Callithrix jacchus: one gene and its partner. The protein of the gene in region 1 purifies or fractionates together with the protein of each later gene. This does not show direct contact. Links are inferred from orthologs where the notes say so. Each region holds a gene or a part of one and is shown in the gene's direction. Other genes may lie near its edges.

Region 1 (14,900 bases):
TGTAAGTCTCCCAAGACTTCCCAGAAGTCGAGCAGAAGCAGCCATGCTTCCTGTACAGCTTGGAAACCGTGAGCCAGTTCAGCCTCTTTTCTTCATAAATGACCCAGTCTCTGGTATTTACGGCACTGTGAGAACAGACTAATGTAATTACATTCAATTTACCTTTGTCTCTAGAGCTAAAGTTCATCTCTAGAGATGGGCTATTGCAGGGTCTTGTTTCTTTGTCTTTGGAGTGTTTTGCTCCTTAATGATTAAAGTAATTATTGATAGAGTTGAGTGCAGGTCTGTCGTTTAACCATATTTTTGTTCTTTTGTTCCTCCTCTTTCCTTGACTTTTACATTTTGTTTGATCTTTATTTTCTTTTTATTTTTGAGACAGGGTCTGACTCTGTCACCCAGGCTGGAGTACAGCAGCACAATTACAGGTCACTGTACCTTGACCTCCTGAACTCAAGCAGTCCCCCTGCTTGCAGTCCATTACGGCTATTACTATACTTCTTTATATAAACCACAGAAATTATGCAACCTTCTAGGCCCACCTCACCATGCTTTATTGTGGTTATATTTAATGTATGTATATACATTAGGAGCCCATGACAATGTTATCATTTTCGTTTTTAAATATTGTGTAGTTACAAAGATTCTAAGAGGAAAAAAGAAGAAAAATACTCAGATATTTAGCCTTTCTGGTGCTCTTTATTAATTTCTGAAAGTCCAAGTTTCCAGCTGGTGTCCTCTCGTTTGGCCTAAAGCAGTCCTTACACTGCAGGTCTGCTGGTGACAACTTTTCTTTATTTTTTCTGCAGATGTCTTTATTTTGTTTTTGTCCTTGAGTCATATTTTCACCAAATACAGAATTCTGGTTTGACAGATTTGTTCTTTTACTACTTGTTTCTTTTAATTTATTTTTTATTTTTGTAGAGACAGGGTCTCGCTATGATGCCCAGGTTGGTCTCAAGCTCCTGCCTCAAGTCAGTTTTCTGCCTCAGCTTCCAAAGTGCTGGGATTACAGCATAGGCCATTGTGCCTGGCCTCTTTTATCACTTTAAAGATGGTGTTCCAGCCGGGGGCTGTAATCCCAGCACTTTGGGAGGCTGGAACAGGCAGATTACAAGGTCAGGAGATGGAGACCATCCTGGCTTACACAGTGAAACCCCATCTCTACTAAAAATACAAAACATAGCTGGGTGTGGGTGGCACCCACCTGTAGTCCCAGCTACGTGGAAGACTGAGGCAAGAGATTCGCTTGAACCCAGGAGGCGGAGGTTCCAGTGAGCCGAGATCATGCCACTGCACTCCAGCCTAGGTGACAGAGCGAGACTCTGTCTCAAAAAAAAAAAAAAAAAAAGACGGTGTTCCAACTTCTTTTGTCCTCATGATTTCTGTTAGTAAGAGTTATGACATGGCAAATATGTCCATGCCCTAAGACTCAAACCTGCGAAAAGGTTACATCACATGGTACAATGGTTTGGAAAGTGTCTCCAAAAGTTTATGTGTAGGAAACTTAATCCCCAATGCAACGACATTGGAAGGTGAGACTTTAGGAGGTGATTAGGCCATGAGGGCCCTGCCCTCATTTATGGATTAATGTCATTATGGAGGGAGTGGGTTTGGTCACAGGAGAGCAGGTTTGTTACCACAGCGAGTGTGGCTCTCTTCCTCTCTCACATCTACTCCCTTGCCTTCCGCCTTCCACCATGGGATAACACAACAAGAAGGCTTTCACCAAATGAGAATTGGATTGGTGACCTTGGATTGCCCAGCCTCCAGAACCATGGGACACACATGCCTCTTTCCTTTGTAAATTACCCAGTCTGTGGCCCTTTGTTATAGCCACACAATGTGGAGTGAGACCAATGGCAAAAGGGAATGTCGGTTATAATTAAGGCTATGGACCTTCAGATAGAAAAATTAGCCTGGGTTATCTCGTTGGGCCCAATCTAAATACATATGCCCTTAAAAGAGAGAACTTCCTCCAGCTAGAGCAGGGGGGAGGAAGAAGAAGATAAAGTCAGAGAAATTTGAAGTGTGAGTGGGACTCTGCCCACCATGTTGGCTTTGAGGATGAGAGAAGGGGTCATGAGTCAAGGAATGCAGCCAACTTCTAGAAGCTCACCCTTACCACCATGTGACACTGGATTCTGCCAGCAACTTGAATGAGCTCAGAAGAGAATTTACCCCTAGAACCTCCAGAAAGAAACGGCTCTACTTATTTGAGGTTTTATCCTCATAAGACTCTTAAGCAGAGGGCTCAGCTGGGCCGCTTTGCACCTGACTTCTTGTCTATTTAACTATGACATCATAGATGGGTGTTGTTTTAAGTCTCTGAATTCATTTAATGAAGGTAATTCGTTATGACAGTAATAGAGCAGTTTCTGATGAGAAGTCAGCCATTAGTTGGATTAACTGCTGAGCAGCACGTGATATGTGACTTTAATTGCTTTGGATGTTTGGCTTTTAGCAGAGTGACTCTCGTGTGCCTTCGTGTGCTTGTTTTTGCTTATGCTGCTTAGGATTCATTTTCCATGTGCAAATTTATGTCTTTCCTAAAATTCAGGATAATTTCAGTCATAATGTCTTCTAGTGTTTATTCCTACAGCTAGTATTCTAATATAATCTATAAGAACTGTAAGCTTTGTTCATTTTCAAAAGCATCTTTTCTCTGTGTTTTTCATGTCGGGCAATTTCTGTGGGTTCATCTTTCAGTATACTCACTCTGTCATTTCCCTCTGGCTGGGAAGCCCACTGAGGAAAGATTTCATTTCAGAAATGGTATGTTTTTAAGTTCTAGAATTTCCCCTTGGTTCTTTTTCACTGTTTCTGTTTTTCTCATGAGGGTTCCCATTTCTCTGTTGAGATTCGTTAGTTACAACATTTCGTTCATTTAGGGACTGGATTTCATTGATTTTATTGTATCTTAGTGTGTTTCAATTAATAGATAGGTAGACAGATGATAGATAAAGAGTTGATAGACAGATGATAATGTTTTATATTTTTAATACTTTTGAGTCCTACCATGGACATTATGGATGTTAAACATGATGGATGTAGGTATTCCACATGCTATTATTTTTCTCCATTGAGGACTCTTTTCTTTCTCAGCAGGTCGTGTTCTTGGCTAGGCTTGAACTGTAACTGTTTTCTGCGTGGCAGCTCCAGCCTCAGCTCAGGCCTTGGGCTCTAGTTGCTTCTTTTGGGTCTATTCCTCGGGTGCTGGGCTCAGGGACGCTGCAGTCAGTCTGGGCATTCCCTCTCGGGTCTTTGTTTTCTGGGATTTCCCCATTATTTTCAGTGTTCATGGCTTCCCAGCTTCCCCTTTCTCATTCCCCAAGGAAGAAAGATCAGGAATTGTGTTAGGTGCACCCCGCCGTTATGTATGCCACCCCTTCTGTGGGAGTTCGCCATCTATGGCTTTGTATTACATCTACTGATTTCACAAATTTGTGTATCAAAACCCCAAGTACAACAGGCTTACCTGTGACAAACAATGAAGGGAGAAATAACTCTGTGTCCTGACATACGTGGACACTTGTCCAGTTGTTTTCTATTCGTAAAATGACTAGCACCGGGTGTGCTGTTTTAAAACATTCATATCTAGTGCCCAGGAATGCTTTATCTCCACATTTCAAACCACTCCTGGTACTACCAATGTTTAATGTTTTCTAAAGTGACAGCTGGAATGGACACTCTCTTTTATTTTTAATTTTTTTACTAAAAGAGGTTACATAGAAATTTTTAGTTTTTGTCTAATTATGACCTTTAAATAGATTTCTATTTTTTTTCCTGGATTATTTGAAAAATTACTTTATATAATTGTCTTAGTCTGTTTTCCATTGCTATTAAAGAACACCACAATACCTGGGGCTGGATTATTTTATTTTATTTTGAGGCAGGGTCTCTTTCCATCGCCCAGGTTTAAGTGGTAATTTTTTTAACAAACCCACTCTCACCTTGACTAATCCAGTCCTAGGAGAGCGAGAACTCACTCATGCCTGCAGAATGAACCCAGTCAGACAGAGGGTATAACCCTCTTGACCTGATCACCTCTGAAAGGCCCCACCTTCCCCTGGGGACCAAATTTTACACACATCAATTCTGGGGACACACTGAAACCATGACAAAAATGAAGATCATTAATGCTTTGTCTCTTACACATGTCACAAATCATTTCCCCAATTTATCTAGCTTTCACTTGTGTGGTATTTTTTGAATATAGGACTTTTAACATTTCGTTTTTTTTTTTTTTTCTTTTTTGAGATGGAGTTTCAGTCTTGTTACCCAGGCTGGAGTGCAATGGCACGATCTCGGCTCACTGCAACCTCCGCCTCCTGGGTTCAGGCAATTCTCCTGCCTCAGCCTCCTGAGTAGCTGGGATTACAGGCACGCGCCACCATGCCCAGCTAATTTTTGTATTTTTAGTAGAGACGGGGTTTCACCATGTTGACCAGGATGGTCTCGATCTCTTGACCTCGTGATCCACCCGCCTCGGCCTCCCAAAGTGCTGGGATTACAGGCATGAGCCACCGCGCCCGGCCAACTTTTAACATTTCTATAGTCAAATCTATCATGGCTGAGAAACTTAGAAATGAGGTTTCTTGCTTGGCAGTCAGAGAGCCCAGAGTTCAAATTCTGCCTCCACTTACTACGAGCTGCATGAGTTTGGTGCACTGCTTAACCTCTCATCCATAAAGTGGTCGCAGCAGAGTCAAGCTTTGTGGAATTGTTAACACACGGTACAAACCATAGGTGTCAAATCCGGATGCCAGAGATGGGAAGTGAGAAGCGTTGTCAGTGGTGCTGTCGATGGCAGCTGCTACCTGTTCTTTCCATGGTGAGGATTATTTCCTGCCTGCCTTTTTTTTTTCATGCTCAGACCGTGCTTCTCCACCTCAAGTGCTTTGTGTATTTACCTACATTTTCTTTAGCGCATTTCTATTTTCATGATCTACCCCAGTCCCACTGAAGTGTTAACTTTATAAAATCTTTATTTTATGCGCTTTTTCAAATTCTTTATGAGCTCAGTGCTATTTTAGTTAGTTTGTTTGTTTGAGACAGAGTCTTGCTCTGTCTCCAGGCTGGAGCGCAGTGGCACAATCTCTGCTCACTGCAAACTCCACCTCCTGGGTTCAACTGATTCTCCTGCCTCAGCCTCCTGAGTAGCTGACTGCAGGCAGGCACCACCACGCCCAGCTAATTTTTGTGTTTTTAGTACAGATGGGGGTTTCACCATGTTGGTCAGGCTGATCTCGAACTCCTGACCTCCTGATCCGTCTGCCTCAGCCTCCCAAAGTGCCTTTTTTTTCTGAGACAAGATTTTGCTCTGTCACCCAGGCTGGAGTGACTGGTGCACTCATTGCTCATTGAACCTCAAACTTCTGAGCTCAGAAGATGCTCTCACTTTGGCTTCCCAAGGTGCTAGCATTACAAGCGCGAGCAACCGTGCCTGGCCTACTTATTATAATTTTTAATGCACATTTTGATAGTGGTAGGTCGTACTTCTATTCATCTTATTAAATCCTTTTCCTGCACTTTCTTTTTACTCTTTCAGAGGGACTTCCGGTTATTGGATAGTTTTCTTGGGCTGGCATAAAGTATATGAGGAAAACGACAGTTTCAATCTTTGAATCTGGGAACACTGCGGGTCTCTCCGTTTGTTTACATGTCCTTTCACGATTTTCACGAAGTTTTCTCTCACTGCACACAGCGGGTTAAGCCGTTCCCTCGCACTTTTACATTGCTGCCAGGTATCAGACCCATCTGATGGCGCATTCTTTCTCATTTTCACTGGTACCTAAGAAAGTACAGACATTTTTATCAGCTGCAAGTATTGCTTTTTACATTTTTTCTTTAAAATCTCATTTCACCATCGGAAATATCTAGCACCACGTTAAACGGTGCAATACACAGCAGAAGAGCGTCCTTGATCTTTTCACGTTTTACTCATTATGAGGCTAACGAGGGAGACAGTATCTGTTCCCATTTTGCAGATAAGGAAGATAAGGGAGCTGGGGCACCGGTGACTGGGGAACTCGTCCCAGTCCCATGTCGGATTTGAGCCCGGGCAGCCTGGCCCTGCTGGGTGAAAAGTCCCACTCCAGAGAAGAAACACAACGGGTGGTCGCGCTGTGCCCCCACCGCGAGGAGAGGCCTCTGGGTCACCGTCCCCGGGGCGCGGCGGCTGGGCCCGGCTTCCCGCAGCGGGGCGCTGTCGGCCCGTGGTGCGGGGTTCGGGCCGCGGGCGGGGAGTCCCGGTGGGCTCGCTGCGGGCACCAGTTGTTCTCTGGCCGTGGCGCGCGGCGTCCAGGGGCGCGGCGTGGAGGGGCGCGCGGGATGGGGCGTGGGCGCCGGGAGCGCCGGGCGGAGCCTTGAAAAGCTCCCGGGAGGCGGCGGCCCCGCGGCCCAGACGCGCGCAGGGACCATGCCTGGCAACGGCAGCGCGCTGCCCAACGCCTCGCGGCCGGTGCCCGGCGGGGACGCAGCGCGGCCGGTGCCCTCGTGGCCGGCATCCGCGCTGGCCTGCGTCCTCATCTTCACCATCGTGGTGGACGTCCTGGGCAACCTCCTGGTCATCCTGTCTGTGTATCGGAACAAGAAGCTCCGGAACGCAGGTAGGGCCCGCGCCGCGCCCCTGGTTCGCGCCCCGGACGCCTCGGGCGGTTCCGAAACGCCGCGGGCTCGGAGTCGCTCTCCCTCCGGCCGGCCCGCTCGAGTGCCTTTCGGTGACCCGGAGTCGCGGCCCTGCGAGGTGGGACCCTCCGCCGGAGCCGGGCCCTCTCCCCTGCGGGGACGCCCGGGTCTGGTGTCCTGTCTCGGGTTTACCAGAACGAGACGCGTCGGCTCCAGGCTGCGGGAAGTTCCTCAACAGCCTCTGCAAGGTTCGAACCGACCCGCGGCTTGGTCCGACACGTGGTTTACTTTTCCTAACTTTGTTGAAATGTGGAAACGCAGAAGCGGGCACCACGACGGAGCAGCCGCTGCGGTTTTGCCGCTGGGAGTGGTCGGCAGCCACGAGCCTGCGGTGGAAGGAGGCCCCGAGCAGGCCGGGTACGCGGGGGACACTGTGGACGCAGAAGCTGCACTGTCTCCTGTTCTGTGTGACAGGAGGGGCTGCCCTTACGCGGAATATGCAACTACCGATAATTCTGTGCTTGACTTAAACTTGCTTTTTCCTCTGAGCAAGGAATTGAACTGGTTCGTTCTGGTGGGAAGCTGGGGACACTTTGCTGTTAGGATACCGGATGTTCAGACTCTGGGTGATGATTAGATGCTCGGCTCTCTGAAGAAACTAGTCTTTTATTTGGAGAAACCTTTGGGAGAAGGGGTGGGAAAGAAAACACGCACTTAAATGTCTGCCAAGATCAATATTTTTGTTCTAAACAGGGAATTGAGAAAAGCTCTCATTTTGTTGAGCTCCTTTTGGGGAGGCTCAGCCTTGCCGTTTTTCCCTGTAATGATCTTGCCGTTTTCAGTTTGAAAATTAGTTAATAAGCACCTAGTGATATGAATTGAGTTTGGGTTAGTAAATTGAATAAGCTCACTTCGTAGGTGATTGACTTAAACTGGAGGAATTCTGCCTTCAAGAAGAGGCTCATTCCTTCCTAGCAATAAAAACGGCTTTCTTGGCCGGGCGCGGTGGCTCACGCCTGTAATCCCAGCACTTTGGGAGGCCGAGGCGGGTGGATCACGAGGTCAAGAGATCGAGACCATCCTGGTCAACATGGTGAAACCCCGTCTCTACTAAAAATACAAAAAATAAGCTGGGCACGGTGGCGTGTGCCTGTAATCCCAGCTACTCAGGAGGCTGAGGCGGGAGAATTGCCTGAACCCAGGAGGCGGAGGTTGCAGTGAGCCGAGATCGTGCCATTGCACTCCAGCCTGGGTAACAAGAGCGAAACTCCGTCTCAAAAAAAAAAGGCTTTCTTTGGACCAAACAGATTGTGAGCACTGGGATAACTGAATCCCAGGGCCGCCTCGTGGTCTGGCGCTGTTGTTAACTCACCTTACAGAGGAGAAACTGAGGCTTCACGTTGTTCACAGGGACTGGAAGTGCGAGCAGGGTTCAGTTCCTGGAGCGGATCTCCGGGCTCAGCCTCATTCCTCGCTGGTCTCCGGGCTCAGCCTCATCCCTCGCTGGCAGCACCTGCAGCCCTTGGGAAGTTTGAATCCTGCAGAACGTTTCATTTAAAAAGTGTCCACAGCCGGGCACCATGGCTCCTGCCTGTAATCCCAGCACTTCGGGAAGCCGAAGCGGGGGAATCACCTGAGTCAGGAGTTCGAGACCAGCATGGCCAACATGGAGAAACCCCCGTCTCTACTAAAAATACAAAAAAATAGCTGGTGTGGTGGCGCACACCTGTAATCCCAACTACTTGGGAGACTGAGGCAGGAGAACTGCTTGAACCTGGAGGCACAGGTGGTAATGAGCTGAGATTTTGCCTATGCACTCCAGCCTGGGCAACAAGAGTGAAACTCCATCTCAAAAAAATAAAGTGAAATAAAATAAAAACCAAAAGTGTTCACGCCTGAACAGTTTTACTTCTTGTGTTTTCTGAAGAAGAACTTAAGAAAAGGGCTCCTTACACACACTTTGTATTTTATTTGCTAAGGCATATCCTTAAGAGGACGGTCTATAACATACTTCATTCCTGTAGCTACCTGGAAGACCCTTAGTGAGCTTAGTGAGCTTTAGAAGCTCCATATTTTTATAATAGGGACTTTTCGTTTATAGGTACAGCTGCAGCCGTTTGAGGGTTTCAGAATGGATGGTGATTTGGAAAGTCGTAAGGGTAGCTGATTCAAATGTAAGTTTCGGCAAAGCTTGGTAGAAGTTTGCATGATTTTTCAGCTGAATTAATTTAGTTGGTTTTAAGAATGAAGGGATGGGAAGAAGAGAATGGAAGAAATGAGAATGTGAAGGCATCTACAGTTTGAGCTCTCACTTTCCTTTGGAAAGCCCGGATAATTGCAGTGATTGATGCCACCTTCCTCCTCTCAGGGGAATGTGCTGACATTTGACTTCCCAGGGAAGAAATGAAAAATGGCTATCAATCTGTGTGTTGGTGACACTGGACAGTCACAGCTGAGGCAGGCTGCAGACAACCACTGGCATCTGTGGTGCTGACAGAATATTCACTCAGCCCTTGTCAAAAATGTGATAATAGAATTTATCTGCTATGTCACGTCTTCTGAGTAAGTTTGATAGCATAGTGGACGATTCTGGCAACGCAATGCTAGGACTCGGTCCTTGCTGTGCACCTTCTGATTTCAGAAATCAGTGAAGCTAAATACGAAACTTCATTCTCCCTGCCGAATTACAGATGATACCTGACTGTTTAGCCTCACAAGACTGTTGCAATGACTTGAGTGAAATGGCGCGTATGAGAACACTTTGAAAAGGACAAAACAAGTAACACCGTGTCGGGGTGTTTTCTGGGTACACCTCACAAGGGTGTGCTCTGTTTGTTGGAAACCATTGTGCCAAAGACCTATGATTCGTGCACTTTTCTATATGTACATTATACTTAAATAAAACTTATTTTAAACAGTGTCAGGCAAGAGTACAATACCATCTTGTCTATTCAGAATTCAATTATCTGGCCATCTAATGGAAGTAGAATACAGCCAATAAGTGGAAATTAGCAAAAGTGACAGGCTCTCACCCACAGCTGATTTGTTCTAACTTTGAGTCCCATCAAACAGTGATACCAGTGTCTAGGTCCCTGTAGATTATGAGCAGGAAATTAGGAGGAAGATTGGCACATTTAAAGAAATGGCATATAATAGCAAGCAGCATGGGTTGAAATAGACTCATTAAAAGCAAGTTTGAAACATAGAACAAGCACGACCTTCTGTGCTTACATTGTGAAGATGCAAATAACCCTGCTCACGACGAACGGCAGTGCAGGGCACTGACATATGTATTAATCGTCACCTGATCCATCAGGGAGAGGTGTCATCGTGTGTGGTGTGCTCTACTTAAGACAGAGGTATAATACATTTTAGAAAGATACCTGTCAAAAGCAGTTTATTATTATTTAATCTGTAGGCACAGGAGGGTTAAATGTCAGTAAATGTTAAAAAAAAAAAAATTGTTTCCCAGAACGGTCCTCTGGCTGGGTGGCTGACACTGGGCCTGTGCTAAGCCTCTCTTACACAAAATTCAGGTCTCTATAGAATGTTATATTGATCCATTCTACATTACCAGAATACACAGAGTATGGAGCAAATTTGGACTTTGGGCCTCAGATCTGATTCAAATCTTGAATGTACCAGGGCTGTTTTAAGATGCCACTAGAAGGATAAACTTAGATTCTGCCCATCAGTCTACCTACCTACCCATCTACCCACCCATTCATACACCCATCCATCTACCCATTCACCCACCCATCCATCCATCTATCCATTCATCCACCCATCCATCCATCCATCCACCTATCCTTCCATCCATCCATCCATCCACCCATCCTTCCAAACATCCATCCACCCATCCATCCACCAACCATCCTTCTATCCATCCACCCACCCACCCATCCATCCATCCACCCACCCATCCATCCATCCTTCCACCCATCCATCCACCCACCCACCCATCCATCCATCCTTCCACCCATCCATCTATCTACCCACCCATCCATCCATCCTTCCATCCATCCACCCACCCATCTACCTACCCATCCTTCCATCCACTCATCCATCCATCCACCCATCCTTCCATCCATCTACCCATCCTTCAATCCATCCATCCTTCCACCCATCCTTTCATCCATCTACCCATCCATCCATCTACCTATCCATCCATTCATCCACCCATCCATCTACCCATCCATCCATCCACCCATCCTTCCATCCATCCATCCTTCCATCCTTCCATCCATCTATCCACCACCCACCTACCTACCCATCTACCCATCATTTTGAGGTATAAATAATAGTATTATGATGTTATTACTAGTATGCATCTGGTGATTTGTTCTTTTTAGGTTATTTTTATTTTTTAAATGTTCATATATTTTTAAGTGTATGTTTTTTAAAAACCAAGTAGATGATGTGAATGGGAAGAAAGTGAAATCAGCCAGAAATGGTTTAGAATCAAATTCCCATTTGTGACATTATGCAAAATACACAAAATATTCCTTGTCTGAGTTTTCCCTTTTGTAATAACCATTATCTCTCTGCAGAAAGTAAGCTTGAGATTTAAAGACTTATTATTTCAATATTCAGCTGTTCTCTAACTTTAAGTGAATCAACTCTAGACACTGCAGTAGCTTTCTTGGGCAAGCATGTTGCCATTCAAAACCTTACGACGTACCTTGTACTGTAGAGATGTGGACGATGGTTATAAGCTGAGCCCATGCTTCATGCCATCTCCAGTCTGAGATTTCCTGTTGGCACTGTTGCAGCTTCCCGCCTGTAGCTTTCCACACTATTTGATATTATTGATTCAAGGCCATTTTTTCCTTTTAGAGACATTTTATTGATTTTCCCCCCTTGTATGCTTAGCTGTTCTTCAGATTTCTATGACTTTTTATCCTGGTTTGTATAGTACATTATTACGGAACCCTAAGTTTTTACAAATGTGTCAGAGTAATTCCCAGAATTCCCCGTAAAGCTTATGACAGTAGTTTCAGACTCTCAAACACATGATTGAATTTGGGTCTGACCTTTGGTTCCTCCAGCTATTTATTTCATAAGAAAGTGTTTCTGGCAGGAATTTTCAATGTTAAATTAATCACAGATAAGATAGAGTTTATGTTCACTGGCTTCCAGCATCATTTTTCTCTTGGCAATTTTGGAAGTTAACCAAGGATAAAATAGTCCTAGATTAAAGCTCCTGCCATTTGATGGTTTTGTTTTAAAAATATCTGCATTGAAAAGTATCATGCCTTGGAAGTCACTTTAAATCTTCATAGAGTCTTTGGAGCTCATTCTGCTCCTTCTTCATTAGCACCGTTTCAAAAGAATAACCAGTACCATGCTGTTTTGATTACTGCAGCCTTGGATAGTTTGAAATCCGGTAGTGTGATGCCTCCCACTGTGTTCTTTTTACTTAGAATTGACTTGGCTATGCGGGCTCTCTTTTGGTTCCATATGAAGTTAAGGTGGTTTTTCCCAGTTCTGTGAAGAAAGTCAATGGTAGTTTGATGGAGGTAGCGTTGAGTCTGTAAATTACTTTGGGCAGTATAGCCATTTTCACGATATTAATTCTTCCTAACCATTAACATGGAATGTTTCTCCATCTGTTTGTGTCCTCTCATATTTCATTGAGCAGTGGTTTGTAGTTCTCCTTGAAGAGGTCCCTTATGTTCCTTGTGAGTTGTATTCCTAGGTATTTTATTCTCTTGGTAGCAATTGCGAATGGCAGTTCATTCTTGATTTGGCTCTCTTTAAGTCTGTTATTGGTGTATAGGAATGCTTGTGATTTTTGTACATTGATTTTGTATCCTGAGATTCTGCTGAAGTTGCTTATCAGTTTCAGGAGATTTGGGGCTGAAAAAATGCTCATTGTCACTGGTCATTAGAGAAATGCAAATCAAGACTACATTGAGATACCATCTCATGCCAGTTAGAATGGTGATCATTAAAAAATCCGGAGACAACAGATGCTGGAGAGGATGTGGAGAAATAGGAACACTTTTACACTGTTGGTGGGAGTGTAAATTAGTTCAACCATTGTGGAAGACAGTGTGGCGATTCTTCAAGGACCTAGAAATAGAAATTCCATTTGACCCAGCAATCCCATTACTGGGTACATATCCAAAGGATTATAAATCGTTCTACTATAAGGACACATGCACAAAAATGTTCACTGCAACACTGTTTATAATAGCAAAGACCTGGAACCAACCCAAATGCCCAATGATGATAGACCAGACAGAGAAAATGTGGTACATATACACCATGGAATACTATGCAGCCATCAAAAACGATGAGTTCGTGTCCTTCATAGGGACCATCATTCTCAGCAAACTGACACAAGAACAGAAAACCAAACACCACATGTTCTCACTCATAGGTGGGTGTTGAACAATGAGAACATATGGACACAGGGAGGGGAGCACTACATACTGGGGGTCTGTTGGGGGGGAATAGGGGAGGGACAGCGGGGGGTGGGGAGTTGGGGAGAGCTAGCATGGGGAGAAATGTCAGATATCAGTGAAGGGGAGGAAGGCAACAAATCACACTGCCGCGTGTGTACCTATGCAAGTACCTTGCATGTTCTTCACATGTACCCCAAAACCTAAAATGCAGTTAAAAAAAAAAGAATAACTAGAATAGCTGAAGTGAATGGAGCATCCGTACAAGGTGCCTGGAGTTTTCCCTTTCTTCCTAAGTATTTGTAAGTTGCCTCACCGACAGAAATACCATGTTTTTCTAAAAAGGAAATTCACATACTTTAGAATTTTCTAGTACCAAAGAGGCGATGAGTGGATTGTTGTTAAAGAAGCGATTATGCACGCACAGAACTCTGCCTGTTTCATTGGTGCCCTCTCTGCTCAGGAAGACAGTGCCTTAATCAGCAGCCTCATTTCTGCCCCTCTCAAATAATCAAGTTGACCAGAGACCTGAGGGCTGTATGTGACATCTCAGTGATTTTTAGTGTTACAGTGTGCAGATAAGAAATAAACTGGATTTTTCTGAATGAAGTGCTCAAATACTTGTCTTTCTACAGAGCCGTGCGCTGTTGGCAATCAAATTGGAGGAATCAGTCTCAGAAGAACAGACACAAATGAAATGCAGCCATGGTGCTGAATATTACTCCGGTTAGTGGAGGCGAAATTGAGTTGTTAACGATTTAAAAGCGTGCCCAGTTGCTTTCATACCGAGTAGTTCTGGTGCTTATTGAACTGAACATTTATTTGGGTAAATACTTCCTGCATTCCTAATGTATAAGGCAGAATGTAAATGGTTGGTAAATTTTTGAGGGGTTGTCAAAATCCAAGGTCCTACGCTGAGCTTGGGTCAAACGTGGCACCTACTTTCAAAGAGATTACTTTCTATCAAGGCACTTTAGAAATTTGTGTTCTTTTTATTTCCAAACAAAGATAAGACATGGAGTACAAAGGTATGAAAATAGGAGCATATTTACATAGCAGAAAACCTTTTCAAGCGAAATGCAAAAGTTGGTTGGTAGATGGTCGCTGGAGCTTAAAGCAATCATAAGAAATTTTTAAAGTTGTTATCTTAGGATGAGAGAACAACATAATACTAGGGAGGTGTGGAAACTAGTCCACATGTGAAATAGCAGCAGACTGAGACAGAATCAGTGAGGGAATTTCAAGGAAACTGATCAGTGATAGAGACACAGCATAACTATGTGAGAGTAACACACGGGCATTATGTGTTTTGAAGAAACACCTGCTGGAGAACTAGCTTGCTAACTTACATTTTTGTTTTCTCACAGTTATTAAGTGGTGGATTATAAAAATGTATGATCAGTAATTAGTATTTCTTCTTTGATTTTCCGAACACATTTAGGAATATGAAACACCTGTGGTCTCCAAAGGGATAATGTGCTTCCATCCTTCATGTGTTCATTCCCTTCTTCTTTATTTAAATATCGGTTGGTTGCCTCCTGTGTTCGTCTATAGAGTAAGGAGCTTAGGACACGATTTTGTTTCAAGAGAAAATTCTGGTTCATTCATTTTTATTTTAAGACATAGTTTAAATTCCAACTTTTAGGATTTTTTTGCCAGTTAGTTTTCATTCTATGTTTTCCTTTTATTTTCACTTTTCTTTTTAGCTCCTTTAGTTGTTCCCTCTGAGTTTGGAGTACTTTCAACAATTCTCATTTGTGTTATGTCCATGTAGGTATTATATAGTCTTTTACCAAGTACGTTTTTTAAAAAGATTGTTTTACGTATATATAATAGATACATATCCTTATGGATGAAGCATTCCTT
Region 2 (15,065 bases), on another chromosome or scaffold:
AATTAAATTCCAGGAAGCGGTGCTAATGACAGCCCTAACCAGTCGCTGGAGAGGCTACCAGCCCCAGGCACGGTAAGGCGGACTAGGCAATAAGGTAATAACGTGAACAAAGCAGTAGCTCCTGGGGATAGAGTTGATTATCTTTTCCAGGCCCTCCAAGGACCCAGGGCTTCCCAGGGGCAGTGGCCTTTGGAGGCTGCCTATGCAACAGGCACAGTGGCAGGTTGTACCATCAGCTCTTCAAGGACAAAGAGAAGGAGGGAGGTTAAGTTAAATCCTTGGCCCCAAAGCCCTGAGAGCTTCTGAGTTCCCTGCAGGGCTTAGGTAGCTCCTCTCCAGTCATGCAGGAGCACTCTGAAGGCCAGGACCTATTGGGTTAGTAGGGCTAGACATAGGTCACTGGCTTGGAGATGGTGCCTCTACCTCAGCATTCCCTGGAGACTTGGGAATCCCCTATGTAGCTTGTTCCTCTGTGATGCCTCATGGCAGTCCCTTCTCACACCAGTGTCCTCTTGCTCTCCCTATTCTGGCCGGGTTGGCCTCTCTGGTTCAGGAGCATCCAGCTCTCCTTCCCACCCCAGGGCCCTTGCACTTATTGCTTCCTCTGTCGTCACTCTCTTCTGGCTTGCTACAAGACTGGTCCTGGGCCGGACACAGTGGTTCATGCCTATAAGCCCAGCACTTTGGGAAGTTGAGGCGGGTGGATCAGTTGAGGTCAGGAGTTCAAGACCAGCCTGACCAAGATGGAGAAACCCTGTCTCTACTAAAAATACAAAAAATTATCCAGGTGTGGTGGCTCATGCCTATAATCCCAGCTGCTGAGGAGGCTGAGGCAGGAGAATCGCTTGAACCGGGGAGGCAGAGGTTGTGGTGAGCTGAGATCATGATTCAAGTTCCTCTCCTCAGACTGTCTTCTCCTGCACATACCTCCCAGTGGCTCTAGTGTCACCCTGTTGATTTCCTCCGAAATGGTGAAGTTCATTTCCCTGTTCGTTTGTTTGGTGTGTGTTCCTAGAGGACAGGGCCCAGCTGCCTCTTTTACCATAGGGTTCTCAGCACATTAGCAGGCAATATGTTCAGGGAACAGTGGTTGAACAGATGACCCCTCCCTCTGGATCCTCCTTTACTGCCTCCCAGCCCCCACCCCTGTGTCAGTTTGGGCCCCCTTGCCTAATCCAGATACTTATGGGGAAGAAATGCAGGGGCCTGAATTCTCCAGGTCAAAGCCAATGATCTGGACAAGGGTGGAGGACCAAAAAAGAAGACTTTGGGACCCAGGACCCCCAGGCTTGCAGGTTTTCCTCCTGGGGGAAGAGAGGCCTGGGAAGAGGGGTCTGGCAGGGAGCAGGGAGAGAGGGCAGAATAGCTGACTCCAGCCTCAGAACTGCCACTGGGCTAAGAGGCAGGAAGGGGAAAGCGCAGGAGATGCACCAGGAAGTGGAGCCTGCCCCAGGGCAGTAAGGAGGGAGTAAAGCTGTGAGCACCTGAGGTCTACGAGCTGCAAGGCTGTGATTGAGTAGTCACAGGTCCTTGGCCAGGGACTCGCTGTCACCTGGGAGCCATGGAGGTAGGGTGGTCGGTATCCTGAACTCTTGGCATCCCTGTGGGGTCCTACCTGGTTCTGGACTCTGGGCAGCGACGGGCACACCCACCCTGAAACTGCCTTTGGGGAAGTGCTAGCAGCTTCCCCTTCCTGGAGCCTGCATGCAAGGGTGTTACAGCCCACTGAGAGGGTCTTCGTTCCTCACCCCACTCAGGGCTGCAGCTCAATAGGAACTCAGCCCATGCTGGACCTGCTCTGCAGCCTGTGGTGAACCCCAAGGCTATTCTGGCTGTAGGGGTGAGCCAGGAGCTGCCACTTCTCCATTCCAGCTGAGATGCCACCCTCAGCTCTGCTGAAGTCATTCCATTGTCCTTTATGGTCTAGTCCAAGCAGTGCTGGGCTTGGTGGGCATGGGGACAAATCATGCCTCCTCTCATGCTCATGAGGCCCTTGCTAGGCAGCTACCCTCTGCCCCAAAAATGACCTCTCCTGAAAGGACTCCTGGATTCCTGAGTGTGAAGAAACCAGGATGCCCACAAGGTACCTCACTGATGACTGCAGCTGCATCCTAGCCCACTCTAAACCTCAGCTGACTCAGCTGCAAAGCAAGGGGTTTGTTTCTCCAGCTCTCAGCCTTGATTTTCTCACTGGCTCTTCCCCAGACCTCCCCTTTCAGACCTACCACCCTGCCTTCGCATGTACTCTTCCATCTTTTTTTTTTTTTTTTTTTTTTGAGATGGAGTTTCGCTCTTGTTACCCAGGCTGGAGTGCAATGGCGCGATCTCAGCTCACTGCAACCTCCGCCTCCTGGGTTCAGGCAATTCTCCTGCCTCAGCCTCCTGAGTAGCTGGGATTACAGGCACGTGCCACTGTGTCAGCTAATTTTTTGTATTTTTAGTAGAGACGGGGTTTCACCATGTTGACCAGGATGGTCTCGATCTCTTGACCTCGTGATCCACCCGCCTCGGCCTCCCAAAGTGCTGGGATTACAGGCTTGAACCACCGCGCCTGGCCTCTTCCATCTTCTTACAATATTCTTCCTCACTGTTCTGCCTCCAGCACTCCCTGCATCATCTCAAAGAAAACTTCCTGACCTTAGACCCATTTTACTGATAAGAAGACTGAGGCACAGGGAGTTTCTGATACTTGTCCAAAGTAACAAGTAGTTGGCAAGTTTGGAGACTGCTCCTCAGACTCTCTGCTGCCAGCTGCCAGTCTACAGCCTCCACCTCCTGCAGAGTCCAAACCACCGTGTGGGGGCTTTATCTATCCTCAGGGCACTGGGGAACCACAGAAGATTTCCAAGCAAGGGAGTGATGTGATTGCTTGCCTCCTTCCTTCCTTCCTTCCTTCTTTCCTTCCTTCCTTCCTTCCTTCCTTCCTTCTTTCCTCCCTCCCTCCCTCCCCCCTCCCCTCCCCTCCCCTCCCCTCTCTCCCCTCCCCTCCCCTCCCCTCCCCTCCCCTCCCCTCCCCTCCCCTCCCCTTCCCTTCCCTTCCCTTTCCTTTCCTTCCTTTCTTCCTTCCTTTTCTTTTTTTGAGATGGAGTCTTGCTCTGTCATCCAGGCTGGAGTGCAGTGGCTTCATCTCGGCTCACTGTAACCTCTGCCTCTCAGGTTCAAGTGATTCTCCTGCCTCAGCCTCCTGAGTAGCTGGGATTACAGGCACCTGACACCACGCCTGGCTAATTTTTGTATTTTTAGTAGAGACACAGTTACACTATGTTGGTCAAGCTGGTCTCAAACTCCTGACCTCGTGATCCACCCGCCTTCGCCTCCCAAAGTTCTGGGATTACATGTGTGAGCCACCGCGCCTGGTGATGTAATTTCTTTCAGTAGGATGTCCTTGGCTGCCATGTGGAGGATGGATTGTAGGGGAAACAGGAGAGCCAAGGAAGAGCATAGAGTCTTAACTGGGAGATAGTAGGGACAGAGAACAAATACAGATTGGAGGAGAAATTGAGGTAGGGAAGAGGCTGATGGCAATATAGGGGTAGGGGAGGGAGGTTGTTGCTATGGCTGGTTGGGGGACCATGAAGTGATGGGGAGCCTAGGAACAGGGGCCAAGTGGGATGGGATGTACCCAGTTCTGGACAGTGTGTGTTTGAGGTGCCCAAGGTGTCTGGGGGAGATTTCAGAGCAGTGGTGGACATGGGGCTGGCAATCAGGGAAGTGGAGAGGACCCTGTGGGTTTCTGAGCCCCCAAAGTGGGAAGCATATGACTGGAGTGGCAAGCAGAGGCCTGGCTATAGCCCTGGGGATGCCATGGAGATGGAGAAGGAGCAGCCAGCTGAGTGGAAGCAAGGGGTGCTGGACTCTCTGGGAAGAGCACAGGACTGGAAAGGAGTAGCTAACTAGCAGGAAGGGTGCAATAACCACAGCATCTGGCCTGGGGCTGGGGAAGGCCAGCCTCCATCCTGCCCTGCTTCCATAGATTGGGGTCTATGTTGCGCCCACCTACTGAGAGCTGGGCCTCCAAGGGGCTGACAAGTTCTCCCTGTTGCCTGGCAACTGTGAGAGCTGTTGGCTGTTGCTAGGAGCAGGCTAGAGAGGCCAGACGAACGAGGATCGAGGATCGGCGATCGGCTCTCAAGCCTGGGGCGGGGCAACCGGTGAAGGGAAGGGGAGGGGCCCACCTTGGAAGCCAGTTTGTCGTCTATGCATGGACAGACAATATTCTTGGCCATGTGTACCCATTTCTGTAGTGTGTTCTGTGGATTTAAGGCATGTTAGAAGCTGACCTATGTGTGGGTATATACAGCATATCTGTGTCCCTGATGGGCATTATATGTCCTCAACATGTTGCACGTCCATGGCAGGGCCTGCCTGAGCTTCAGAGCAGTGGTGGACATGGGGCACCATATCCCATGTTTCAGGACAGGAGGGAGCACTGAGGGAGTCATTGGAGGGCTTCCAGGACAATGACTCCTTATCAAGAGAAACATTCAGATAGGGTTACGCAGGCACTCCAGAGAGAATAACCAGCCTGGGGATTGGGACAAAATGTGTACCAAGCTTTGTTGTTTGTTTGAGACAGAGTCTCACTCTGTTGTCAGGCTGGAGTGCAGTGGTGTGATTTCAGCTCACTTCAACCTCTGCCTCCCAGGTTCAAGCGATTCTGCCTCAGCCTCCCCAGTAGCTGGGATTATAGGCACACACCACCACACCCAGCTAATTTTTGTATTTTTAGTAGCGACAAGGTTTCACCATGTAGACCTGGCTGGTCTTGAACTCCTGACCTCAAGAGATCTGCCTGCTTCAGCCTCCCAGAGTGCGGGGATTACAGGCACGAGCCACCGTGCCTGGCCAAAATGTGTACCAACGTTCTAAGGCATTGGTCTGTGCTAAACAGTGGGCTGTTGTTAGCAAGCACCCTGTCTTGCTTCAGGGACCATGGCACTGGGGCCACACAAAACGCCTTGGTGGGTAATATTTGGAGACCCTTCCAATGTCCAGTCGAGGTTGGGGCTGTGGGCTCCTCCTGGAGCGCAGGATCTGAGACTTGAAATGTTCAGCTAGAAACACTGCTGCCTCCACCCCACCTTTGCCTGGCCATAGGGTTGCAGCCATTGCCCAGTGGGGACAGGCCACAGGAGGGTGGGATGTGGGTTCATGGCCACCTCCAGATGTGGACAGGCCATGGAGAAGACAGATCATAAGATCATGGCCACTTTTGTTTCTAGAAGTCCAGTGGCAACTTCTTCCTCTTTCTTCTCTCCCAACCCCCTCACCCTGCCTGTCTGCCCTCCCCTCTTCCTCCCTCTCCACCTTCTCTCCCTCTCTCCCTTCCTCCTATGGGTTCTGGTTGCCTGGTCCCAGATTGGAGTCCAGGATGGCTGCATGAAAAATGCCTCCAGGTAGACTGGGGAAGGATGGGTAAGACTTGGATTTCTTGAGAAGGCACCCAGCTGAAGGAGACAGCCTACACAAAGGTGTAGAGGTGGAAATCGACTTTTTTTTTTTTTTGAGACGGAGTCTCTCTCTGTGGCCTAGGCTGCCGTGCAATGGCACGATCTCGGCTCACTGCAACCTCCACCTCCCGGATTCAAGTAGTTCTCCTGCCTCAGCCTCCTGAGTAGCTAGGATTACAGGTGCCCACCACCTGTTACTTCTGGCTAATTTTTATATTTTTAGTAAAGATGGGGTTTCACCATATTGGCCAGGCTGGTCTTGAACTCCTGATCGCAAGTGATACACCCGCCTCGGCCTCCCAAAGTGCTGCCTCGGCCTCCCAAAGTGCTGGGATTACAAGCGTGAGCCACAACGCCAGGCCTTTTTTTTCTTTTTTGACTTGCTGCAACCCAGAGAAAGAAGCGGGTAAACCAGCCTTAAGTCTGAGAAAACCGCGGTCCAGAAGGGCCCAGGGGTTCTGTAGATCCTAAAACAAGTTTATTGGACCCATTAACTTTAACAAATAACAAAAGGCACGCCTCCTCCACCTAACTCGCCCAACTCACAGACGCTCAGAGGGCCGGTTCCTGCTCGGCTCTAGAGGACACGAGATCCCCACCCTCGCCCTCCCGGCTGTCCCGCACCACCCAATCGGAGCCCGGCCCCGCCTGCAGCCTGTCCAGCTCCGGGTCCCTTCGTTCGGATCCAACCCTATTGCCTTTGCTCGGCATGGCCCCGCCTGCAGCCCAGGCCCGAGCCTGGGCTGCGCTTAACTTCTCGCTTCGCTCCACCCTAGAGCCAATCACCAGCCTCGAATTTCCTCTGGCCCCGCCTCCAGACCCGCCCCGGCCCAGTACCGGGCTTGGTTCGTCCAGGCCCCACCCCCGGCCCTCCCCGCCGTCGGTGCGCGGCGGTCGGGAAGGCGCCTCCTGCATACGCTCGAAACTGCCGACCCGAGAGCTTCCCACATAGGGCCGGTGGTGGGAGCCGAGTGGGTCGGGCGGGGCCGAGCCGGGCCGTGGGCCGTGTGGGGGCCGGGTGGCGGCCGGGCCGGCGGACGGCGGGATGGGGTGCACCGTGAGCGCCGAGGACAAGGCGGCGGCCGAGCGCTCTAAGATGATCGACAAGAACCTGCGGGAAGACGGCGAGAAGGCGGCGCGGGAGGTGAAGTTGCTGCTGTTGGGTGAGGCCGCGTCCCGCAGCTTGAATCCCCCCGGACGAGGACTTTGACCTCCCAGACTAGGGCTTCAAACTCCCAGGCCCGCCTGGATCCCCACACCTAGGCCAAGACCAGTTGAAAACTCTAGGGTGGGCTAGACCTTTGATCCTGCCCAGACTCTAGGCCAGATCCCCATCTCATTCCAGACCCCAGACCTCCAAATCCAGTCAACAATGCCCCAACACCCGCGGTCCAGAGCCCTGCTTGGCCATCCGCCCTTGCTAACCAGCTTCACAGAACTTCCGAGCCCCCGCCATCCTTCCCTACACTTTACTCAAACCCCCAGGACGCCCGCCACTTGTTCCCCAACCCTCCGGCTCCACATGTTTTCCTCACCTGCGCCTTTTATTCCTGTTGGGCGTGAGCATCCCGCGGGCCCCTGCCAGGCCTCCCACCCACTGCCTCCTTCTCCCTCTGTTTCCCATTCGTAGTCTGGAATCTGTATTCTCCACCTGTGCACTCTGAGGAACCTCTCGAGTGGGAAACTGTTCTTGAGCCCCCTCTCCAGCTGGAACCTCTTCAGCGAGCCCTGCTCCCTGCTTCCTGCTCTCCAGATCCCTCTCTGCAGACATCACTCTCGAATCCCTTTGATGCTCTTCCCTTAAGTCCTCTTACACTCTGGCCTTCCCCAGCTCCCTCCACCCCTCCTGCACCAAGTGGGCTGGGCTAGGAGGAGGCAGCCCTGCGTTGGAGAGGGCCTAGGCTGCCTTATGCAGAACCCCCACGGGCCTGGACTGAGGCTCCACTGGTCACACTGGGGGAGGAAGCCGGGCCTCAGGCTTTCCAGGGAGAGGCTCTGCGGGCTCTATGTTTTACAGTCTGGGAAGTAGGAAAGAGTGTGGAGGAGTTAGGGTTGTGGCCGCCTCCAAGGCCAGGGAAGATGGTGGCTGCTAGAGCTGTGGGGGGAAGTGGAAGTGGTGAGACAGCCGACATATTGCTGCCCCTGCAGGTGGGCCCAGGAGATCTGCTAGTAGGTGCTGGGCTGCCCACACCCCTTCCGGGCTGCAAGGCCTGGGATGTAGCCTTTGAGAGTAGGGGGACTTGTTGGATCTTGGGTCCCTGTGAAGGGGAATGGTGGACTGGCGGAATGAGGAGTTGGGCTAGTTGGGGGTGGGCCAGGGTGCCTCTGAGCATCCCTTTCAGCAAAGACCATGGGCTTACTGGTTGTCCCCATCCAGCCTCCCACTGGAAGCAGGGGTGGTATCCAGTGACTCTGATTTTGATTTGGGGGTTTTAGAGTTGGGGGGAGGGAGGCTCTCGTAACAGCACAGCACCGTTGTGGGCTGGGTAGTGCACGGGGGGGTGTGGCCCCTCAGCTTCAGAACTGTCATGGGGCCCCAGGCTGTGAAAAGCAGGGCTTTTCATGCTAGACTTGTGGCCAAGAAACAGCATGTATGTCCATTACGGGCCCATCTGTTGACTGTCCCGGGGGACCCGGCCTCAGGGGCACAGCCCCGGAGGTTTCAAAATGGCATCCGCTTCGCTGCTGCCTCAGGGAGGAAGAGAAGGGGCGGGAAGGGGCGGCGGCCCAGCCTCCTGGGCTGCTTTGCGTTGGGCGCTTGCCTCTTCCTGTCTCTGCTGTGAGTGCGGCAGCGGCAGTGAGTGGGTGTCGACGCGGCGGAATGCCCTTCGCTGCTGCTGCCGCTGCCCGCGGGGCCTGGGGAGGGCACTTCCGGTACCGCTACCTCCCAGTGCCCAGCCAGAAGCCTCTTCCCAGGCTAATCGCAGTTACTGTGGTGGAGGAGGAGATGTGAGACTGGACCATAGAGCTGGGAGAACCCAGGGCTTCTGGCTAGTTTTGTGTCCTGACACCAGATGGGTCCCCCATCCCACCAGGCCTCGGCTATAGCGTCAGGTGGGACCTAGCAACTCTTCCCACACTGGGCTTGCAGCAGCCAGGGGTGCAGGGTCTGGCTCAGCACTTTTTAGCCTGGGGAGTTCACCCTGGGGGCCCGCCTCTCTGGCCTTTGCTTACTCTGTGAAATGGGCTTCCTGAGTTTGGGCCAAAGGAGTCCCCCAGCTCAGGATGGGGAGAACAAGAGCCTCCTGGTGGTTCTTGTTGGGGTTGTGGGCTGGGGGTTAAGACCCCACAGAGTGTGTGCTGCAAAGGGCTCCAGCCAAGCTCTGCCTGATACTGACAACCCAATCTGCCTTGGCTGCCTGGGGAGGAATCCTGGCTTGAGCCAAGCCTTTCCCATCCAGGTGCAAGGTGGCGATGGGAGCCCAGCTGTGGCAAGGTCAGAGTTCTGGGCGCCTGTTCCATGTAGCGGGAGACTTTGTCCAGGCAACGGGACACAGGTTGAGCAATTGCCAGCCTTCCCTCCCAGCCAGAACCACGCCTGCTGCCCCGCCTGCACACTGCCTCTCTCCCTCCCATCCTGGATAGCTCTGCCAGCAGGTGGGCACAGTCCTGTCACCAGGGCAGAGGCTGATGTGGTACACGCAGAGTTTTTCCTGGCAGCTTGGTGGGGGGAACAGATACCAGTCCTACTCTAGGGGTGCTACCCACACCTACCCAGCTCAGTGTGACTGACCAGCTAGGCCCAGATGGAATCTGGGGCTGTGGGCTGGGCACTTAGGGGCAAGGAAGCCAGAGTGTGTGTGAGGGGGATAGTCTCTGATTTGGGATGGGCTTCTGTGGACAACTTAACAGAAAAAGGGGACAGTGTCCACCATTGGCTCCATAAAGGCTTCAGAATGTAAATATAGCTGTTCTCTCTTGTCCCTGGAACTTTGCATCTGCTGTTCCCTACTTGATTGTGCTTTAAAGCTTTACTTGGGAATCACCTCCCAGGATCCTTCCTGGACATCCTCCCTTGACCAAGGCTGGTGAAACATCTCTGGCTCCCAGCGCTATTGCTTCCCCTATCAGATACCTGGAGACTGCCGTTCAGGACTATGTCCTCTTCATTTCTGTGCCCGGCATGGAGCCTGGCATCTACTGGGTGCTTCTCATCTGTTTGTTGAAAGAAGGAAGTGTCCTCTGAACCTGATTTTGGGTAGATGGAGGAGTAAACCGAGCAGCAGTTTGGATACTGTGGGCAGGTGGCAAGGGCCCACAGGCCCACGGCAAGGTCGGTGACCAGCATTGAGGGGACACTGAGAAAAGCTCTTCAGGCTGTTTCTTCCCAGCCCTGCCACAGGCTATGCTGGCATCTCAGAAACAGTTCTTACCCCACCCCTTGCGGAACTCCTGCTGAGCAGCCTGCAGCCTGTTCATCTGGGAGAGTGGCTTTATATTCTTCCAACTCAGGCTGTTTGTGCACTGCTAGAGGGCTGCTGTCTCTGCCACTCCGGTAGCCACAGTAGAGCTTGAGCTGTCTTGTCCTACTGGGGCTGCCCCGCTGCCCTGGGGCTCAGACCAGAGCAATGCTGTGAGAGGCCTGGGACTGGCCAGCGCAGAGACTGCATTGCAAGGGCTCAGTTAGTTTACCAAGAGAAAAAAAAGGGAATTTCATGGCCTCTGTCCTGTCTGTGTCGCTTGCAAAGGGCTGGCATACTATAGATGCCTAATGAGTGTATATGGACAGAATGAAGTGATTGAACATGTCCATGAACAGGGCATAGCTCCTGGGAGAGGGGTAAGTTTAATCCTGCTGCAGCCCTAGAGCCTGGTCTAACAGGAGATAGATGGGAAGGGCTAGCCTGGGGTTCTGGCTGGCTGGGTGGTGGGTTAGACTCTAGTGGTGTCTGTGAAGGGGAGCTTCCTGGAGGAGGAGGGCATCTGGTGGGCATCTGTGAAGGATGAACACCATTTGCCAGGGCCAGGCACTGGGGGGCAGAGGGACTGACTCGACAAGGGCACTGCAGCGGAAAGACTTGGCCCTTTATTCCCAAGACCTTGGATGGGTGTTTCCTGGCAGGGTTGTGGGAGAGCCCATCCTCCCTGGACCAGCCCATGGGGTGGCTCACACCTATAATCCCAGCATTTTGGGAGGCCGAGGCAGGCGGAGCACCTGTCAGGGGTCACAGGTCAAGAGTTTGAGACCAGCCTGGCCAACATGGTAGAACCTCATCTCTACTAAAAATACAAAAAACTTAGCCAAGTATGGTGGTTCGTGCCTGTTATCCCAGCTCCTCAGGAAGGTGAGGCATGAGAATCGTTTGAACCTGGGAGGTGGAGGTTGCAGTGAGCCAAGATGGTGCCACTGCATTCCAGCCTGGGGGACAGAGCAAGACTCTGTCTCAAAAAAAAAGAAAGTGGATGAGACCCACTGCTGAGAGTCTGATGGGAAGGAGGCAGCCATTCACAGCAAGTGGGGAGCCCAAGGTGTGCAGATAGTTGGCGACAGACTGTTCTGGGCACCTTAGGCTCAACCTCTAGGGGCCTAGGTTTGGAGATGTGGCAGGGCCCTGGGTGCCAGGTGGGCCAGCACCCACCCAGGCTGGCCTCCAGCCCTGACATTCTCTCCCAGCCCTCTCCTTCACTGCTGGAGCTCATTAGCACTTGAATGGGGGGCGGGGTGTCTTGGGCCTCTGAGTCTCTTCTTCCCACCCCTCCCCCAGGCCTGGTGGGGCTTTGTCTGCTGGAGCAGACGGAGATGGAGCTCCCACGCTAAGGAATGAGCAGGGGTCCAAGCCATAGCTGATCCCCTCTGCCTGCATCCTGCCCAGTTCTGCTAGGCTCAGGCTCTGCCCCTCATTCCAGTGTCAGCGCAGCCAACATGAGGTCATACCTCTAGGGTAGCAGTGAGACTAGGTCCTTCAAGGGATACCTCTGAGCTGAGAGACTAGGTAAATCAGGGCAGCTGGAGCTCAGCTGGGGGCATCACAGGTGGGGTGGGGGAGGGGAACCCCAGACAGCAGGTAGAGCAGGTTCGAGGACAGGAGGACAGAGGGAATAAGAAGCTGTGGCTGGAGGTGGAAGTCAAGCCAGCTGGGGGACAGAAACTTCCATGCCAGAAGCCCTGAAGCAGCATCTCATTACCCACTGTGTGTCGGAGCCTAGGCTGCTGGATGGGGGCTGGGCATGATCCTGAACCCATTTGGCCAGGGGCAGCTTGTCAGGGGTTGGCCCTGGGTGGCCTGAGAGGTAGGGTCACTGAGTGGCATCACTGATGTCCCAGGCCCTTGAACATTTGTTTGCCTAGCAAGTGGCACAGGTAGTACTGAGGGTGGGGTGTGGTCAGATCCCAGCAAAGTCCCTAGGCCTCCAGCACTGCAGAGGTGGGCAGTAGGTGCACTTGACGCTACTTGGACCACAGGCAGACATGCTGGTCCTGTCTGCCTTGCCCTTGATCTCAGTTCTTAGTCCCTGGCTGTGTCTCTCTCAGTCTGTCTCTAAAAGCCGCCCATTCACTTGGCAGGAACAGGATGGAGGAAGCTTTGTCCCCCTCCAAGCTCTTAGCCACTGAGGAACCAGGGCCTCCCCACCCCCAGAAGAGGAGGAGACTGTTGGTTGCCCCAGAGCCCGAGTACTGCCTTCTCTATACCCTGTTGTGCTGTTGTGCTGTGGCCGGGAGGCAGGACTGGGCAGATGGAAGCAAGGCATAGGCCAGGGAGCAGTCTCATCTTCCCAGCATCTTGGGCCAGGAGTCCCAGCCTAGGCATTCAGCAAAGAGAGGGAAGGGGTCAACAGGTCTAGCCAGGCCACTGCTGATGCACCCTGCCTAAGAATGCACTGAGAGGTGCTTTGGGGAAGGCAAAGGATTGCGACCTTTGATGGTGGCCCTGGTACCTGATGCTCTCAGGCAGCCTTCCCTCAGCTACAGGGGCAGGGTGGGGCCCTGTCTGCCCAGCCCCACCCAGCCCTTCTAGCCTGAAGCTCTTGTTCTTACTAAACACTAACCCCACCCTCACCCTGATGTTACTTCTTGGAGCTGTGGCCGCTCTTAGTGGCTGGGGAGGAAGAATCTTTCCGAATAACCAAACATTTGCTGGGCTGGTTCTTCTCTGCCGGCCTCTGTGCACATTTACAAGTCTTGAAAGGCAGCATCACACCAGTCTGAGCAAAGGCCTAAAGGTGGTGTCATCTAAGCCTTGTTGGGGAGAAGGTATCATTATGGCTTGGAGGAATCTGGGGGCTCCAAGGCTGCTGCCAGCCTCAGAATCTGCAAAGGAGGTATTGGTAATACCTACTGTGTGTGCCCCAGGCGGGGAGGAGGAGTGAAGTCTGCACGGCATAGCACAGCACGGCAGGGCAGGGCTGGGCCTCTCGGGGAAGTGGTGTCCACACTGGAGGAAAAGGAGGAAGCAGCTGGGGGAGGAGGAGCCCAAAAGAGGAAGAGGCCAGAGGGCTGCCTGATGCTAGGGTGGGGGTGAGAGCCCAAGGGCCCCCCAGGGCTTTGCCAACTGGAAGGGTCTAGGAGGTGAATACCTGCCCAGGCTTATCTGTGCATTCCTGTGGGCCATTCTAATGGCAGTCACTGGGTTGGAGCCAGTCCAGGTAGCACTGTCCCTTGTCCTGCCCCATCAACTGTTGAGCCCAAGATCCCAGAGAAGGTGGTGCCTCCGAGAAGGATTCCAGGCCCCTCCTTTGGCCACAGGAAGTTGTGGCTGGGAGAGGGACACTGGTGGGAAGGCTAGCAGGAAGGCAGAGGGGTTGCTCTTACATTCCCGAGCGGCCATTGCTCTCCAAAGCCGGAAGGCCAGCCACAGGCCGAGATGAATGCCTGGAAATGCAGCAGTGCCGAGATGAGCTCACTCTGGGTTTCCCCTGCTAGGGTGGACAAAGGAGCCCATGCCTCATCCTAAGGATTCTCCCTTGCCAGCACCCACTCACTGGGTCTATGGGTGCATTCACGGGGCCTCAGTTTCCCTTCAGGTGATAACCACAGCTGTCTCTGATTGAGCCTTCACTGTGGAGCTGGACTCTTCATGATCTTGTCCTATTTAATCCTGTGAGGCTGGGACTGACATTACATCCATTTCACTGATGGACAAATTGAAGCTCAGAGACATTACGTCATTTACACAAGAAGCAGAGATGCCAGGACATGGCCCATGCACCTGCCTCCAACTGCCATAGCCCCTTGGGAATCTGTGCTGGCTGGAAGAAATGGATCAGGCAGGACATCGGGCGGATGGTGTGGGAGAGGGACACTGGTGGGAAGGCTAGCAGGAAGGCAGAGGGTGCATGTGTGTTCTGTATGTGCCTGTGGGCCTTGGCTCGTAGGCCTCAATTCCTCTTTTAGGAGACAGAAAGGGAGCTGTCCGATCTGGAAGGCGGGACCCAAGACTCTTGTGTATGAATCTTTCTACAGCCGTGTGGTCACGAGGAACACTCCCCTCCCTTTTTTTTGAGACGGAGTCTCGCTCTGTCTCTCAGGGTGGAGTGCAGTGGCGAGATCTTGGGTCACTGCAACCTCCGCCTCCCAGGTTCAAGTGAGTCTCCTGCCTCAGCCTCCCAAGTAGCTGGCATTAGGCATGCACCACTACACCCAACCAATTTTGTATTTTTAGTAGAGACGGGGTTTCACCATGTTGGTCAGGCTGGTCTCGAACTCCTGACCTCAAGTGATTTGCCTGCTTCGGCCTCCCAGAGTGCTGGGATTACAGGTATGAGCCACTGAGTCTGGCTGCAGCTGCTCCATTTTTACTTCCCACCTTTCCTTCTAGCCCATATCCCCTCACAGTGATGCTCAAGTTATAGCTGGCAACTTAGGACTAATTTTTTCCCTAATATTATGCTTGTTCTCCCACAAGCTCCAGTCTTAGTGGGACTGAGACCAAGCCTGGGGAAGGCTCAGAAGCTGTTGAAGTCCACAGTGAGGGCCTCTGAGACTAGGAATTGTCCAGAGAAGTGAAAGGAAAGTGTGTTCCTTAGGGCCCCACTGTGAGCAAAGGCTCAGTGCTGGGTGCGTGTGTGGTGCTGTGTGGTGGCTGAATGTGGCCATGATGTCAGCTGGTGACTGCCTGATAGTTGATGAGGCTGCTTCCTCACGCTCCTTGGCCTCTGAATCTCAGTGTTATGACCTAGTGGGGCCTTATCCTCTTCTGTGGGGGTTCCTAGGGGTTCTGCTGTGTTGCCAGGCCAGGCCCTAGGGGGCTAGAGGCCTGAGGGGCTAGAGCAGAAGCATCCAAGCTTCTCTGGGCCATGAGGTCATGCACAGAGCAGAGACCTGTGCATCCTCATGGTCACCCAAGACTCTGGGTCCCAGAAGGTCCAGTTCCTCACTTTTCTCACTGTGTGACCTCAGGCTGTTCTCTTCCCTCTCTCTGTCCAGTACTAGAACCTGTGATGCTGTGATTCTTAGCATGGTCTTCTGGCTTCTGGACACAAGGACAGCTGCTGGCTTGGGTTGGGCCCTGAGGCAGTTTGGGGTGAGTGCGCAGACCCTAGGGAGGCTACTCAGGGCAGGCCTTGGGTTTGGCATGCTCCCTTGAGGAGTGCATTTTGTAGATGAGGTCTAGGCTCTGGGTACCGGAGTCCACCACTGTGAATCAGAAGGGAGGAAGGGTCATTCAGGCACCTTGG

The links.
Region 2: the proteins of MTNR1A (region 1) and GNAI2 purify together in Homo sapiens (tandem affinity purification; 3 studies listed by BioGRID and IntAct, with this or other methods). This does not show direct contact. The link is inferred for Callithrix jacchus from reciprocal best matches to the Homo sapiens genes MTNR1A and GNAI2.

The regions. Positions count from the first base shown.
Region 1 is NC_133504.1:5,045,859-5,060,758, forward strand, and holds the start of MTNR1A (melatonin receptor type 1A), read left to right. Parts: upstream 1-6,396; 5' UTR 6,397-6,418; coding exon 6,419-6,608; intron 6,609-14,900.
Region 2 is NC_133516.1:32,817,917-32,832,981, forward strand, and holds the start of GNAI2 (guanine nucleotide-binding protein G(i) subunit alpha-2), read left to right. Parts: upstream 1-6,363; 5' UTR 6,364-6,495; coding exon 6,496-6,613; intron 6,614-15,065. UniProt on the Homo sapiens protein: Guanine nucleotide-binding proteins (G proteins) are involved as modulators or transducers in various transmembrane signaling systems.